Linked DNA regions of Tamandua tetradactyla. The protein of the gene in region 1 binds, or shares a complex with, the protein of each later gene. Links are inferred from orthologs where the notes say so. Each region holds a gene or a part of one and is shown on either strand. Other genes may lie near its edges.

Region 1 (7,465 bases):
AAAAACCCACAATGTAAAATGATCTATAGTTTTTGAATAATGAATGAGGATTTGTCATGAAAATTGTTTGCATAAGTTTACACACTGGGCAAACTTAATAGATTGTGCCTGTGTCAGCATTTCTATTTTTCCCTGAAAGGTTTATTTATTTGACTAATGGTTTCTATATTCCTGTAAGATAAATTATTATTATATCAAAACAATCCAGCCACTCTGGGAAAGGTATACATTCTCCTAAGTTTACTCTTCTGCATAAGCTTTGGTATGTTAACCATCTCTAAGGGGAATATATATATACACATATACATATAAACCAAAAATGTCAAAACTGTTTATTGTTCTGAATATACACAATACTTTGTCTATTCAGTAAAGGTTTATTGAGCACTTACTCTATATCACACACTAAGATCTGTTTTGAGATATATTATAAATATTTTTAAAATCCCCATCTTCAGTTGAACACAGTTTGTTTCTGATTTGAATTCACTCCTCATGTATGTGTGTGTATAAGTTTAATGATAGTTGTGAAGGGTAGTAGAAATAGGAAATTTTGTAACACTGGTGAAACTAAAGGTCAAGAGATTTATTAAAAGGAATAAATATCCCTTCTAGGGTTTATGATTCACACTCAGGGTGAAGATTCAATAAGATCAAGGTAAACGAAAACATTTTAAGTATTTTCCCCTTTATGAATGTACAATGCACAATAATTTTAAATGTTCAAACAGACACATTAAGGAAAATTGAGTGCATGGAAATAATTCTGCTAGCAAAAGTGAGGTTGAAGTACAATTTCTCTACTTTTGTTCCATAAATTATGGCATAAACTTTCCTGTGTACTGCTTTGTCTCCAGAACAGTAACGTTATTTGGTTTTTTGTTTCATTTGGGTAGTTTTTTATTAGAGAAGTTGTGAGTTGCAGAAAAATCATGCATGAAATACAGGGTTCCCATATGACACCTGGGTAAGTGTGGAATGTTTGCTACAATTGATGAAAACACATTTTTAACTGTCCTATTAACTATTACCCATGGTTTAATTCTAGTTCACTGTGTTGTCAAGTTCCAGGGATTTTTTTTTAACTTCATTCTAGTAACATATATACAACCTAAAATGCCTCCCTTTAATCATATTCAGATACATGATTCAATGCTGTTAATTACAGTCACAATGTTCTGCTACCATGAACACCATCCCTTACCTTAACTATTTCATTACCTCAGATAGAAATTCTGTACATTTTAAGACAACATCCTGTTCCCTACCCCCACCCCACTCCTAGTCATGTATATTCTAGATTCTGACCCTATGAATTCCCTTTTTCTAGTCATTTCATATCAATAAGATCATACAATAGTTGTCCTTTTGTGCCTTGCTTATATTACTCAGCACGTCTTCAAGTTTCATCTACGTCAAGGCTTTATCTGAACTTCATTCTTTTTTTTACGGTTGAATAATATTCCATTACATGTATATAACAAATTTTTCTTATTCGTTCTTTGGTCGATAGCCTCTCCAACACTTATTATTTTCCATTTTTTTAATAATAGCAATTTTAGTGGATATGAAATGGTATCTTATTGCAGTTGTGATTGCATTCTCCTGATGGCTAGTGATGATGAGAATTTTTAAATATGCTTTCTGGCTATTTGTATATCTTCTTTGAAGAAACGTCTATGTGAATCTTTTGCCCTTTATTTTTGCATGGGCAGGCACCGGGGATCAAACCCAGATCCCCAGCATGGCAGGCAAAGATTGCCCGCTAAACCACCATGGCCCGCCCTGCCCATTTTTAAATTGTTGTGTTTTTTTTTTGGTCTCTTTGTTGTTGAATTGAAGGATTTCTTTATATATTCCAGCTATTAAACCCTAATCAAATACGTCATTTGCAAATATTTTCTTCCATTATGTAGGTTGTCATTTTACACTTATGATAAAGTTCTTTGAAATGCAAAAGTTTTAAATTTTCTTCTTCCTGATCTTGAAGGGAAAGCTTTCAGGCTTTCACCATTGAGTAGAATGTTAAAAGTGTTTTTTCATACATGTCTTTTATCATGTTGAGGATGTTTCCTTCTATTCTTAGTTTTCTAAAGTATTTGTGTTAATAAGTGGTACTGGATTTTGTCAAATGCCTTTTCTGCCTCACCTGAGATGACTGCATGCTTTTTTAATTTCAGTCTGTGAATGTGGTGTATTACATTAATTGATTTTCTTATGTTGAACCACTTTTACATACCAGGGATAAATCCTCACTTGATCATGGTGTATAATTCTTACAGTGTGCTGTTGGATTTGGTTTGCTAGTATTTTATTAAGGATTTTTGCATCTATATTCATAAGAAATATTGGTCTGTAATTTTCTTTTTTTGTGGTGTCTTTATCTGACTTTGGCATGATGGTATTGTTAGCTCACAGAATGAGTTAGGAAGTGTTCCTCTTCTTCAATTTTTTAAAAGAGTTTGAGAAGGATTGGTGTTAATTATCCTTGGAATGTTTGGTAAAACTCACCAGTGAAGACTTCCGGTCCTGGGCTTTTGTTTGTTCAGAGGTTTTTGATGACTGATTCAATATCTTTACTAGTTATTAGTATTCGAGATCTTCTATTTCTTTTTTTTTACTTTTCATTTATTCATTTTTTTTTTTAACATGGGCAAGCGCCGGAAATCAAACCCAGGTCTCCAGCATGGCAGACAAGAACTCTGCCTGCTGAGCCACCGTGGCCCATCCAGAGATCTCCTATTTCTTTTTGAGTCAAAGTAGGTATTTTGTGTTTTTCCAGCAATTTGTCATTTCATCTAGGTTATCTAACGTGTCAGGGTATTGTTGTTCATAGTATCCTCTTATAGTCCTAATTTCAGTGGGATTGGTCACAGTGTCTCCTTTTATCATTTCTGATTTTAGTTATTTGTGCCCACTCTCTATTTTTCTTCACCATTCTACCTAAAGGTTTGTCAATTTTATTTATCTTTTCAAAGAACCAACTTTTGGTTTTGATGATTCTGTTTTTTTCAGTTTTCTGTTTCATTTGTCTCTGCTCTAATCTTTATTATTTCCTTCCTTCAGCACACTTTGGGTTTGCTCTTCTTTTCCTAGTGCTTCCAGTTTTGAAGTTGGGCCTCTACTTTGCAATCATCCTTCTTTTTTAATAGAAGCATTTAGAACTATAAATTTCCCTCTCAGCACTGCCTTTGCTGCATCCCCTAAGTTTTGGTATGTAGTATTTTATTTTCATTTGCCTCAAAACATTTCCACGTGTTTTTTTTATTTTCCATTTCTCCCCCTCTGTTATGATTTCTAGCTTCATTTCACTGTGTGGTAAAAGATGATGCAATGATGATTTCAATATTTTTTTGTATTTATTGACACTTGTTTTGCTCTCTAAGATAAGGTTGGTCCTGGAGAATGATCCATGAGCACTTAAGAAGACTGTGTGTCCTGCTGCTGTTGGATGTGTTCTACATATGTCTCTTAAGTAGAGTTGGTTTAGAGTATCATTCAAGTCTTGTATTTCCTTACTGACAACCTATCTAGATGTTCTCTCCATTATTGAAAGTAGTGTATTAATGTTTCCGGTTATTATAACCACATTTCTCCCTTCAAATCTGTTAGAATTAACTTCATATATTTTGAGGCTCTGCTCTTAGGTGCATATATTTTTAAATGTTTTTGTTTTCTTACTTAATTATGTCTTTTCAAACCGGCACTTATCCATTCTGCCAATCTCTGCCTTTTGAATGGAGAGTTTAATCCATTTATATTTAAAGTCACTATGATAAGGCAGGTCTTTCCTCTGTCATTTTACTATTTTGTCTTTGTAAGTCTAATACTTTGTTTGTCCCTCCATTTTCCATTAATGCCTAGTTTCATATTCATTATTATTATTTTTTACATTGTATGGTATCAAGTCCCTTCTTGTGTCTAGGGCATATTTTTTATATATTTTCCTCGTGGTTGGTTACCCATGGGGTTAAAATTTAATATGCTAAATATATAACAATCACATTTGATTTGATAACTTGACTTCAATAGCATACATATGATACTGTTTGATTTTAAGGCCTCACCTTAAAAAGTAAAAGTAACTTGATGTCATATGGTGAGAAGAGCAATGAACAAAAGAGAGAAAAAGAACCGTTTAGATACCTGAGACCCTTGCTTTTGATTTGCCTAAGTCTGTGGTTTGCAGAATGTTACCCACCCTAACTCATTCCTAACTAGTGTATATATTAAGCTCTTTGAAATGTGAGTATTATGGGAAGGATCGCAGTTGCTTTAAATTATAGAAGTTGGCAAGTGCCTGGGAGAAGGAGTGGGAGGTTGTTTAAACTGAGAAAGACAGTTGCAAAACTTCGTACAACAGCATGAGCTCCAAGCTTCAAAAGCATTCTCATGCTCAGACGAGTGCTTTATTTTTCACCAAGTTATTTTTGCATTGTTTTGAAGCAGCTTCAAATAATAAACACATATTTTTGCTTTAAATTTTTTAATGGTTTCTAAATTCATGGGACAGCCAAAACAAGAAAGCCTCATGTTTTGGAGGAAAGTTTGACATCAGGAATGCCTAGAAAAGGTAAGCTACCATTTTCGCTACATTTTTCTCTTTTTTCCTCCTGTTTGGCCTTCGTCAAATACATTTACTGGAAGAACTTAAGACAGCTTCTTGTAAGGAAATGAGGAACTTGTAGAAAGTATGTCAACAAATGATAAATCAGAAGTTGAAAAGCCTCAGCAGTAGTATTTCTCCTACTTTCTATTCTGCTTGATGCATGAACTTTTGTGAAATATTTTTAGCTATATGAAAAAAATGACATTTCTCTTAGAAAATAGGGGCAGGAGTTCCTCAAAATCTCTATCCCGTATAAACCCAACACTTGCCTGTGTGCTGATGGGCTAATTTATTGTCAAGTTCAGAGTCTTTATGTTTTCTTATTCCACTATATGTAATTCACCTTTCGGAGCTATGATTTTTGCATCAACTCGGAAATCTTTCCCATGGAAGATTTTAATATCATTCCAAAAATTCTCTTAAGCACGGTTACTGTCACTTCTTATAAACTTGCTTTGCAGATAGTGGTTTTGAATGTTAAATAAATCATTTGACTTTTCCATTGTAACTACACTGGAGGATATTATAGACATTATATATCTGGGAAGGGGGAGTGGGGGACGTTCACCTGAATGTTTGTTAGTTCGCGTTGCAATTGGCCGAAAATGTTGCTCTCTGAATAAGGTGGTTTTGCATTATCAATTGTGCCTCATAAACAGGTAGGGAGCAGAGAGGCTGTGACGTTTTCTTGTATTTCTACGCATCGGTTATACGAGAGGTATCTTGTGGTTTTAGGTGAAGAAGTGTATAAATGCATAAGCTGTTCCTATTTCCCTGAGAAAGTCCCTGTTATCAGCATTTCCATCTTTCGGAGGCAGAATCCCAGGTGCAAAAAAAAGATACCCGCAGAGATCTGCAAATTCTTCTAGCAGGCTGAGATTTTGTCAGAGACCCACATTCATTCTTCCTCGCACACATACGTATGTACTCACAGCCAGCCATTAAAAAACCCTGAGGGTTCTGTTACGCTTCAGAGGTTTGGGACATCCCAGGTGACTTCAATCTGCAAAACCTGCTTGTATAGAAACATGAGCAAACCAGCCCAACGGGACATGGGTGAAAATGGTGGGGTACAGCATGGGGGACGCTGCTCCCGGAATAGTGAGGGACAGGAAGGGCCGTGAAGGGCTGTGCCTTCCTTGCCATACTAGCTGTTTTTCGGCTTTTTGAATAATATTTCCTTCTGTGTCAAATTCTAGTTGCATAAAGTGGATTATTGTAGCTTCCTCTGCCTTTTCTGGTCTCAGTGGAAGGGGAGGGGTCAAGGTCAAAGAAGGATGTTAGTACAGAAAAGCAAGAAGACAGCTTGGTCTCTTCCTTGCAAGGTGGTGGACTTAGTTGCCTTTCTCCATCCACAGCTGTTAGTGGAAGAAGTGAGGGACCTGTAACAGCCAATTTATTGTCCTCCTTTCCCTGTCTTCTCTTTCTTCCTTTTCCCCTCCACTTCTAATGTGCCAGCCCAGAGAACATCAAGAGAGGGAGGAGCGGGTTGGACTGACAAAATTATTTCCATCTCCGCCTTCCTGGTCCTCTCGATGTCCCCCTGGGCAGCTGGGGAAGCCCCCACCATATTTGGAGGGGGGGTCCTCCAGGTCCCCACCCCATGACCTCATTGCAGGCAGCCGGAGCCAGGGGGGGTGGGATGGCCAGCGGTTGCATGGCGCCTGAGTGCACCCTGGGGACGGGTGTGGCTGGGAAATGCGCCGTGTGGCATGACGTGACTGCTGGGGTCTGGGGCACCCGACTCCCCATTTTGGGGCTCCATGGAGGCTGGCGGCAATGCTGGACGCCAGACCCAGACCAAGCCTCTCCTCTGGGCCAGAGAAGGCTTGAAAGAGGACAAAAACAAAAAGGCAATTAAGGTTGCTGATGAAGCCCCAAGCCAGCTGACTCATCGGAGGCACAGTCTCTCAGGGGCTTGGCAATGAAACCTGGATGAGGCGCTGGAAAGGACAGGTCACAGTTGACCCAGGAAGGACACTGATGGGACGCCCAACCTGACCTATGGGTGCCTTCTCATGTCGGAGGGGCCGAGGGAGACGAACATCTGCCGGGTGGAGGGAGGAAGAGTGTTAACTAATGAACTGCTGGGGAGAAGGGCAGCATGCAGTCTGCCTGGCTTTGGGGTGGGAAGGTGGTGAGTAAAAGTTGCAGGTCCCAGCTCCATAAACCAGGATCTGAAAAGCCTCCGGTCAGGAATCAATACCTGAGTAGGGGTCTTAGCTTCCTAGAGCTGTCGTAGCAAAATGCCACACACTGGGTAGCTTAAAACAACAGCCATGGACAGTCTCACAGTTATGGAAGCTAGAAGTCCCAAGCCAAGATATTGGGAGGTCCTGCTCCTTCTAAGATTGTAGGAAACGATTTGTTCCAGGTTCTGTCCTGGCTTCTGGCACTGGCTTGCAGGGAACCCGAATGGCATTCACTGCCTCTGCTGTCCCATGACATTCTCCCCTTGTCTCTGTGTCCAATTCTCCTCTTCTTATAAAGATTCCAGTCATATTGAATGAGGGCCATCCTAATCCAGTTTGGCCTCATCTTAACCGATAATATCTTGGGCCACCCCATTTCCAGATAAGATCGCATTGACAGAACCAAGGGTTAGAACTCAAATCTGTCATTTTGGGTGGATGCAATTCAACCCCTAACAAGGGGCTAAGAGAGAAACGTTATTTTTATCGCAGCAGCCCCTTTGGAGTGGCCACTCTGCACCAGTGTCCTTGGCAAAAACAGACCAAACACAAACAAGCAAAATCTGCATAAGCCAAAGACCAAATATAAACTACAGTCTAGAAAGGTTGGAGAGAACACAAAGGGGGGCGCTTTGCAAATCTGCCTGCTGAAATCAAAGCAACT
Region 2 (7,281 bases), on another chromosome or scaffold:
AGCAATAAACTCTTTCTCTCTTTGAAACCCGGTGTCTCAGGAATTGGTTACTGAGTGCGTTGGGCAAAAGAATTCATGGCCTTTGTCTGGTAACATATCTTAGAGCAGCCAGAAGTAAAAGCCTAAAATTGTGGAATCGTAACTCATACCAAACTCTGAAATATGTTCTACAACAAATTGTTGTGCTATGCTTTGAAATTTATTGCTTTTTTTGTATATATGTTATTTTTCACAAAACAAGAAAAAAAAAGTAGATTGCGATGATAAAAAAAATCTTCCTTCTAGCCTCCTATGTTCTGGAGTAGCAAGAAGAAAAATTCTGAGAGGATGGTATGGTAGCCCATGACAAACTTTGGGATCTGTCCTTTGTTGAAGAGTGCTTTGAAAACTACTGCTTTTTTTCTTTCTCTGCTTTGTATATATGTTATATAATAAAAAAGGGTTAAAAAGATAGTCAGCAAAACATTTACTGAGAAGGACTACAGATATGAGGTCATCATATACTTACAGAATGTGGTGGAGAAAGAAGCAAAAAAAAAAAAAGACTAAGAAAAAGAAGCTTGGATTTTGTATTTTACCAACAGTGTAAAATTATCCAGTATTAAGGAGAATTAATGGTTATGGGCACCATAAAAATTAACAGGTAGTCCTGGCTCTAGATTTAAAATGGAAACCCATATGCACAGGAAATAGGGGGAGACTGGAAGTCCTCTCCAGGGAGTGCTGGTTACAAAGCGGCTAACCAGCAGTCCCAGGGGGGAGCCATCCTTTCATCCAGGGTGGTGAATTAACAAGTGAAAAGAATCAACTAATGGGGCCTAAAGCTGTATCTTCCTAATGCTGCTGTAAGTTTTCATGATTATTTCTTAGACTCAAATAACTTGAAGAGTATGATGAACAACTTGTTGAAAAAATTTTTTTTGCTGGGGTAAATGCATAGGCCAGGAATTGAACCCGGGTCTACCGCATGGCAGGCGAGACTTCTATCACGAAAATACCCTTGCACCCTCTTATATGATTAGTTAGAAATGTATCTCCATGTCTCTAACGTTTGTATTGGCAATTCCCAATTTTTCAGTTTTGGACGTTTTCTATTACTTTCCCCAGTGAAAAGTTAGCTTCCCCTTGCCTACTCCCACCTAGCTCCACCACACACATACACCCTTCCTATCCTCCCAAAACAGTTAAACTGACATTTAGTTAGTCAATATTCAGCATTCACATACTTATGACTATGTAAACCCTGTTCACTATTCTGATTACTTTTCCTTTCCACATTTTTCCGTACTTTTTTACTTCCCTGGAGTTAATGCTTTTTTTCTTGTTTAGTTTTCTATGCACTTCTCACAATTACAATAAACAGCTTGTACTTCAATTCCTCACAACTTGACATTTAAAGATATAAGATTTATTCAAAATCTAGCTCGTTGCATCATTGTCCATAATAGTGAAAAACAGGAAGCAAATAAAATATCCATTAACAGGGAACTGGCTAAAAGCATTATAGTTCTTCCATATCATGAAATACTTTGCAGGTTTTAAAAAGAATAAGGATGACCAGCAAATATTGATACATGTGCCTGAGCCTTTTATTTTCTCTCCTTATATATGTTAAATTAATATTTTACAATAAGCACACACTGTTGTAATGAGAAAAAATGAAGGGAAATTTAAAAAGTAACCAGAAAAAGGTTATTAGAACCATATTTTATTTATAGTCATTCAAATGACCAGATTTAAAAAAAAAAATCATCTTACTGGGTTGCTGGAAGAAAGTTTGAATTTTTCCCCAGCAAATTAAAATAAGTACAGTGCAGACCATACTCTCAGAGGCGCTACAGAGACTCGGCTTTGGAAGGAAATTGTTTTACACTTATGAAGGAAAATATTCTCAGAAAATGAGTGGAAAGGGGTGACTGTAAAAGAAGCACTCACTTATCTTGAACCCAAAACTAAATTACAGGCATTAAAATCCTTCTATTTCATCCTAGAGAGGTGCAGGATGGAGCAGCATCTAAGGAGATAAGCCCAAGGAGGCGTGGTTCTGCCAGCAGCACATTCTGGAAAGGTCCCTTAACAATCAGTTTCTCGGCCAAGTCAGCATAAAACTGCTGGCCCCTTCAGCCCCTAGGGTGCTGGGATGCTCAACTACTAACCACTAACACGGTCCGCCCACATGGCTCCCACAGACATTTTCAGAACCGTTCCATAGGTTTAGCTCACGGAAAGGTCAGGCCAGAGACAGGCTGCTCCCCGACTGCAGTGGCCAGCTTGGGCTCGTGGGCTTTTTTGGAGAAACTGAATGAAACAACCTATCTACTCCCCAAGAAATTAAATACACGCTAAGGCCAACCAAGCTGGGTACACAAGTTCCATGGGTTCGCGACCCTCGAGGACCCCGGTTGGCCTCCCGAGGTCCGGGGTCCGTTCACCCGCCCTCTCCGCCCTCCTTCCCAGCCACGCACCGACACGAGCGGGACGCGCAGGTGATCCCCCTGCAGCTGGTTGAAGGCGGGGAACGTGCTCCAGGCGAGGAACCCACCGTGCTCGGGTCCCAGTAGGGCCACCAGCAGTACCTGGTGCTGGAAGCGCACGGTCGGCTGCTCCTCATAGCTGCTCCGCTTCAGCCAAAACCCTGAGGAGGTAGAGAGGGAGGGAGGGCGGTGGGGAAGAGGTCAGGGCGGCCGGCCCGGGCGCAGCGGGCCGCGGGGAGCTGTGTGCGCTCCGGCCGGGGACAGGCTCACCGTGGCTCCGGAAGGCCACCAGTAGCGGCGGGATGTACGTGAGCACGGCTGCCACCAGCAGGAACAAGGCGGCCTTGGAGCAGAGGCCCGCGCGGTAGCGGCGCTCCACTGGGTGAGAGAAGAGCTCGTAGAGCGCCATGGGCGCCGCGTGTTGTCGGGCCGCACTCTAGGGACTGCGGGGCTAGTCTAGGGGGCCGACCAAGTTTGGCTTCTCCCGGTTGCCATAGCCTAAGTCTCTATGGCAACAGACGGCGCAAGAGGAGCCAATAGCAAAGTCGCAAGGCTTTGGTGGGGGTGGGACTAAAAGGGGTGGTGTCAGTTGGTGGAGGATCCGCTTAGGTTTACGCTGTGTGTGGGTTTCCCTGAAGGCCACGTGGGAACGAGGCTTTCTGAAGCAGAATCGTAGCCACCGTCTGTATTAACGTTGATGTGAAATGAGATTTCTATAAAGGTTGACAAAGCTAAAACCTGCTTATGCGTCATCTGTTAACTCCCCATGTGGTTCATACTTTACTTCAAACAGACACAGCACACCTTATTTGGAGGAAAACACACCTTATTTGGAGGAAAATAAATGTGGCCGAGATTCTGGACCTGGTCTTGGGCTAAGACCAAAGCCAGGTTCCTTGCCTCCGACGGATAGAGGGTAATTACTACATAGTACTCATGATATACTTGACCTCTTTGCAGATAGTGGGTACAAGCTTGGCTAGCGGTTTTAGGGAAAGCTGTAGCCCTACCCCAAAATAGCATTGGCTTACCCCTTAATGGAATGCTACGCATACACGCACACATACACACACTAGTATTTTGGACATAGCAGAAGAATTTTTTTTTTTACCATGGTTTACACCCAAGTTCATTAAAGAGTCCTGAAGGAGCACATCGTAGTATCAAGAGATAATGTGACGGGGTGGGGGGTATGGTATGTATGAATTTTTTTCTGTTTTCTTTTATTTCTTTTTCTGAATAGATGCAAATGTTCCAAGAAATGATCGTGATGATGAATATGCAACTATGTGATGATATTGTGAATTACTGTTTATATATGTAGAACAAAATGATTATATATATATATATATATTGGGTAGATGGAAATATGAGTGGTCAATGAGAGGGAGGGGTAAGGGGTATGGTATGTATGAGTTTTTCTTTTTTCTTTTCATTTCTTTTTCTGGAGCGATGAAAATGTTCTAAGAAATGATCATGGTGATGAATATACAAGTATGTGCTGATATTGTGAGCCACTGATTGTATACCATATATGGAATGTTCATATGTTAAGAATGTTTGTTTGTATGTTGTTTTGTCAGTAAAAATATTTAAAAAAGAAAGAGAGAGAGATAATGTGAAATTTGTGCTGAGTGGAGTCCGGTAGCTGGTGCCCCTAATTTGAAGGCAACCTAGAAGTAGCTACTAGATGAACAGCTGCGATTCAAACATACAGAGATCAAGAGCTGCCCATTCTGGAGAACTATCCTCAGGGTCCTTACAAGGGTCCAAGATGACATTGTCCTCAACCATAAAATATGACTTTGACATAGTCCAGTACTCTCATTCTTGCTTTTAAAGCTTTTCTGGGGTGGCAACATTGCTTTTAACTTCAGCAATTTTTGTGCTCAAGTCTATGGTTTGATTCTTAAAAATTATACTGTGTACATTTTAAGTGGATGATTTTCATTTACTCAAGTAGCTATTAAAATAAGATTTTTCTAGAACAGATGCCAGATAGTGCCTCCTGAGTGTGGCCCTGTTACTGGACAAAGGCCGTGGATTCTTTTGCCCGACGCGCTCAATAACCAATTCCTGAGACACCAGGGTTTCAAAGAGAGATAGCGTTTATTATGAGGCATGTAGTACAAGAATAGATGGCTTAGCTGTCCCAAATCTGTTTCCCTGAACTGCAGTAATTCTGATAGTTTTATTAGAGAAAAGATGGGCACGGTTTAGAATAATGAGCACAATGGCCCCAGATGATGTAATTAGAGGTGATCTAATTATTGAGCTTGTGCAGATCGATTACATGCTTAGTTACAGAACGTGTGTAAGAAAATGATGGAGAGGTATAGGTGTCTCACAGGTTAAAGTCTAAGCTACTGCACATGTCAGGCAGACCCGCTTTTGTTAGATCCAGTCTCTTTTATCAAGATAACTTTAGATTTGGGGTGGGTTAGTTCTGGTCCAGACCCAAGATACTTCATTAATAAATATTAGGGGCTGTCTTTAGTTATTACAAGACTCTAAAGTTGAAAAACTGGATAACTTGGTAAAATGAAGATCAGTCACAGGGTTTTTACAATCACAGAGAAGATAAGGGCTATACAATCATTACCAGGGATCAGGACAGTTCAGAGATTTCAGGTATTTCCCTCTGTCCAATATGCCATAAAGGAAAAAGGAATATTTATATAATGATTCAGTAATCAAAGTCATCACTTAAATCCTGGTTTCTTGGTTACAGTCCTCTTTGGAGGAAAGAGGCTTTGAAGGACTGCTGAAGGAAACATACTGTAGCTAGTTTCAATTTAGTTACTGCTGAAATAGAAGCAGCTGACTGCTAAGAATGTAGGTGCATTGAGTGTTTCAGCTTCTGTGAGGTGCATGAACTTTACACAAGTATTTATTATGGGAAAAGACATAAAAAAAAAAGTAGGTAGGGAGAGAGGACAGAAAGACACTGCACATCAATGAAACCATCAGGAGGCAGGACCATGAGTTGGTGAATGGTGGATAACTCCTTTCCCTGAGAAATATACTGAGTTCTCATGTGCAAGGTGATAGATACATGCCTGGGACCAGAACATAATTACCAACTCTGTAAAGGGAAGCAAGAGTCTGGGTCCAATTTCTAACTCCTCTGCTGATTCACACATTATGAGAAGGTGAACAACCATCTTCACTCCTTGGGGGTTAATTCTATCCTTAAAATAGATATTTTTCCCTTTATTTTCACTCACCCTCTAGCTCTCACCTAGTTCCATAGCTTTAAATACTTCTCCCCTGAATCTGAGACTAATAGATCTATTTACCAATTTCACATCTTCATTTGGATGTCTTTTGGATCTGTTTCTTGGGCATCTTTTGCTTAATATATCCAAAACCAAACTCTTGACCCCACTTCAACAACACTGGCTCCACCCTATTTCAGCAAATGGCAATTCAATTCTTCCAACAACCTCGACTTTGACTTCTAATACACACCCATATCCAATCTGATAAAAGCAATACGTTTCATACAATTTAGGATCTTAAAGCATTATTAAGTAATTCTTAAACTGGGCAGGATTCCATTCAGAAAGTAGAAGGAAGCGCCATTAAAGGGGTGAAAAAGAGAAGCTCAGACAGGGTGAAAGCAGAAGCAAGCAAGGAAATGTTCTGCTTGGCTGCTATTAGTTTCCATTTTACATAGAGGAGTCTTACAAAGTGGGGAGCAGATATAAATTGATAGTATGGTATGCTTGTCCATTCTGATAAGCTTTCTCTACTGGACCAAAGCAATCCTGTAGGGTGTATTCCATTTTCTCAGAATTGTTTTTGTCTTCTAGAAAAGCTTTTTGGGAAGGGGTCTTCTCCTGGCAATGCCCAAAGTGGGTGGTCATTTCATTTTACTTAAATGTATCGGCCAATTTTGTAAGCTCTAACCTTCAAAATATATCCAGTATATAATTACTTCCCACCACCACCATAGATACCATCCTGGTCTAAATCAACATCATCTTTCATGTGGATTATCACAACAGCTTCTTAACTTGTCCCCTTACTTCCACCTTCACCCCCACCCCCCACCATAATCTACTGTCTACACACAAGCAAGTCTGATCATTTAAAAAGGAAAGTCCTTTGCTCAAGTCCTCCACTAACTTCCCACCTCATTCTGAATAAAATTCAAAGTTCTGTCCATGGTATATGAGGCTCAAAACCTCTTTGACCTCCTCTTCTACCACTGTCCTCTTTGTTCCCTCAGTTCCAGACACACCAGCTCCTTCCTGTTCCCATAATATGCCACCACTCGATCCATAAAGCATTTTATCCCACTATCACTCTTTAGGTCCTTACCCTGCTTTACTTTTCTAAACAGCACCTCTATTTATATGACATATTTATTTATTGTCTTGTTCCACTAGAATTTTAGTAAACTCTATGAGAACAGGGATGCTATGTGTTTTGCTCACTGCTGTTTCCCCAGCACCTAGAACAGTGCTCCCGTATACAAAAACACCTGATTTCTATGTATGAAATTAAAAGAATTTTTCACGTTATTATCAACAAACAAACACTCACCTATTTTGGCTGCTCAGACATGCAGTCTTAAAATAACAAAAATAATTTTAAAATGAAGCTAGATTCAACAGCATCCATGGAGAATTTTAATTGTAGGAAATGATGAATGATAATATTCAAATACAGGCCATTCAGATGCATCAGAATCACAAGCACGGGGTAAGGGTCATGTGCCCAATTAAGTGAATATTCTTATTAAACATTCACCAGCTCATAAATAGATGATGACCCAGACTGGACTGCCCTGATGACTCTG

Evidence for each region.
Region 2: CC2D2A (region 1) and TMEM231 share a complex: the UniProt entries of both Homo sapiens proteins name them as parts of the tectonic-like complex. The link is inferred for Tamandua tetradactyla from reciprocal best matches to the Homo sapiens genes CC2D2A and TMEM231.

The regions. Positions count from the first base shown.
Region 1 is NC_135345.1:14,654,399-14,661,863, forward strand, and holds the start of CC2D2A (coiled-coil and C2 domain-containing protein 2A), read left to right. Parts: upstream 1-4,462; 5' UTR 4,463-4,560; coding exon of another isoform or gene 4,561-4,573; intron 4,574-7,465. UniProt on the Homo sapiens protein: Component of the tectonic-like complex, a complex localized at the transition zone of primary cilia and acting as a barrier that prevents diffusion of transmembrane proteins between the cilia and plasma membranes.
Region 2 is NC_135342.1:70,244,909-70,252,189, forward strand, and holds the start of TMEM231 (transmembrane protein 231), read right to left. Parts: upstream 3,001-7,281; 5' UTR 2,884-3,000; coding exon 2,745-2,883; intron 2,636-2,744; coding exon 2,466-2,635; intron 1-2,465. UniProt on the Homo sapiens protein: Transmembrane component of the tectonic-like complex, a complex localized at the transition zone of primary cilia and acting as a barrier that prevents diffusion of transmembrane proteins between the cilia and plasma membranes.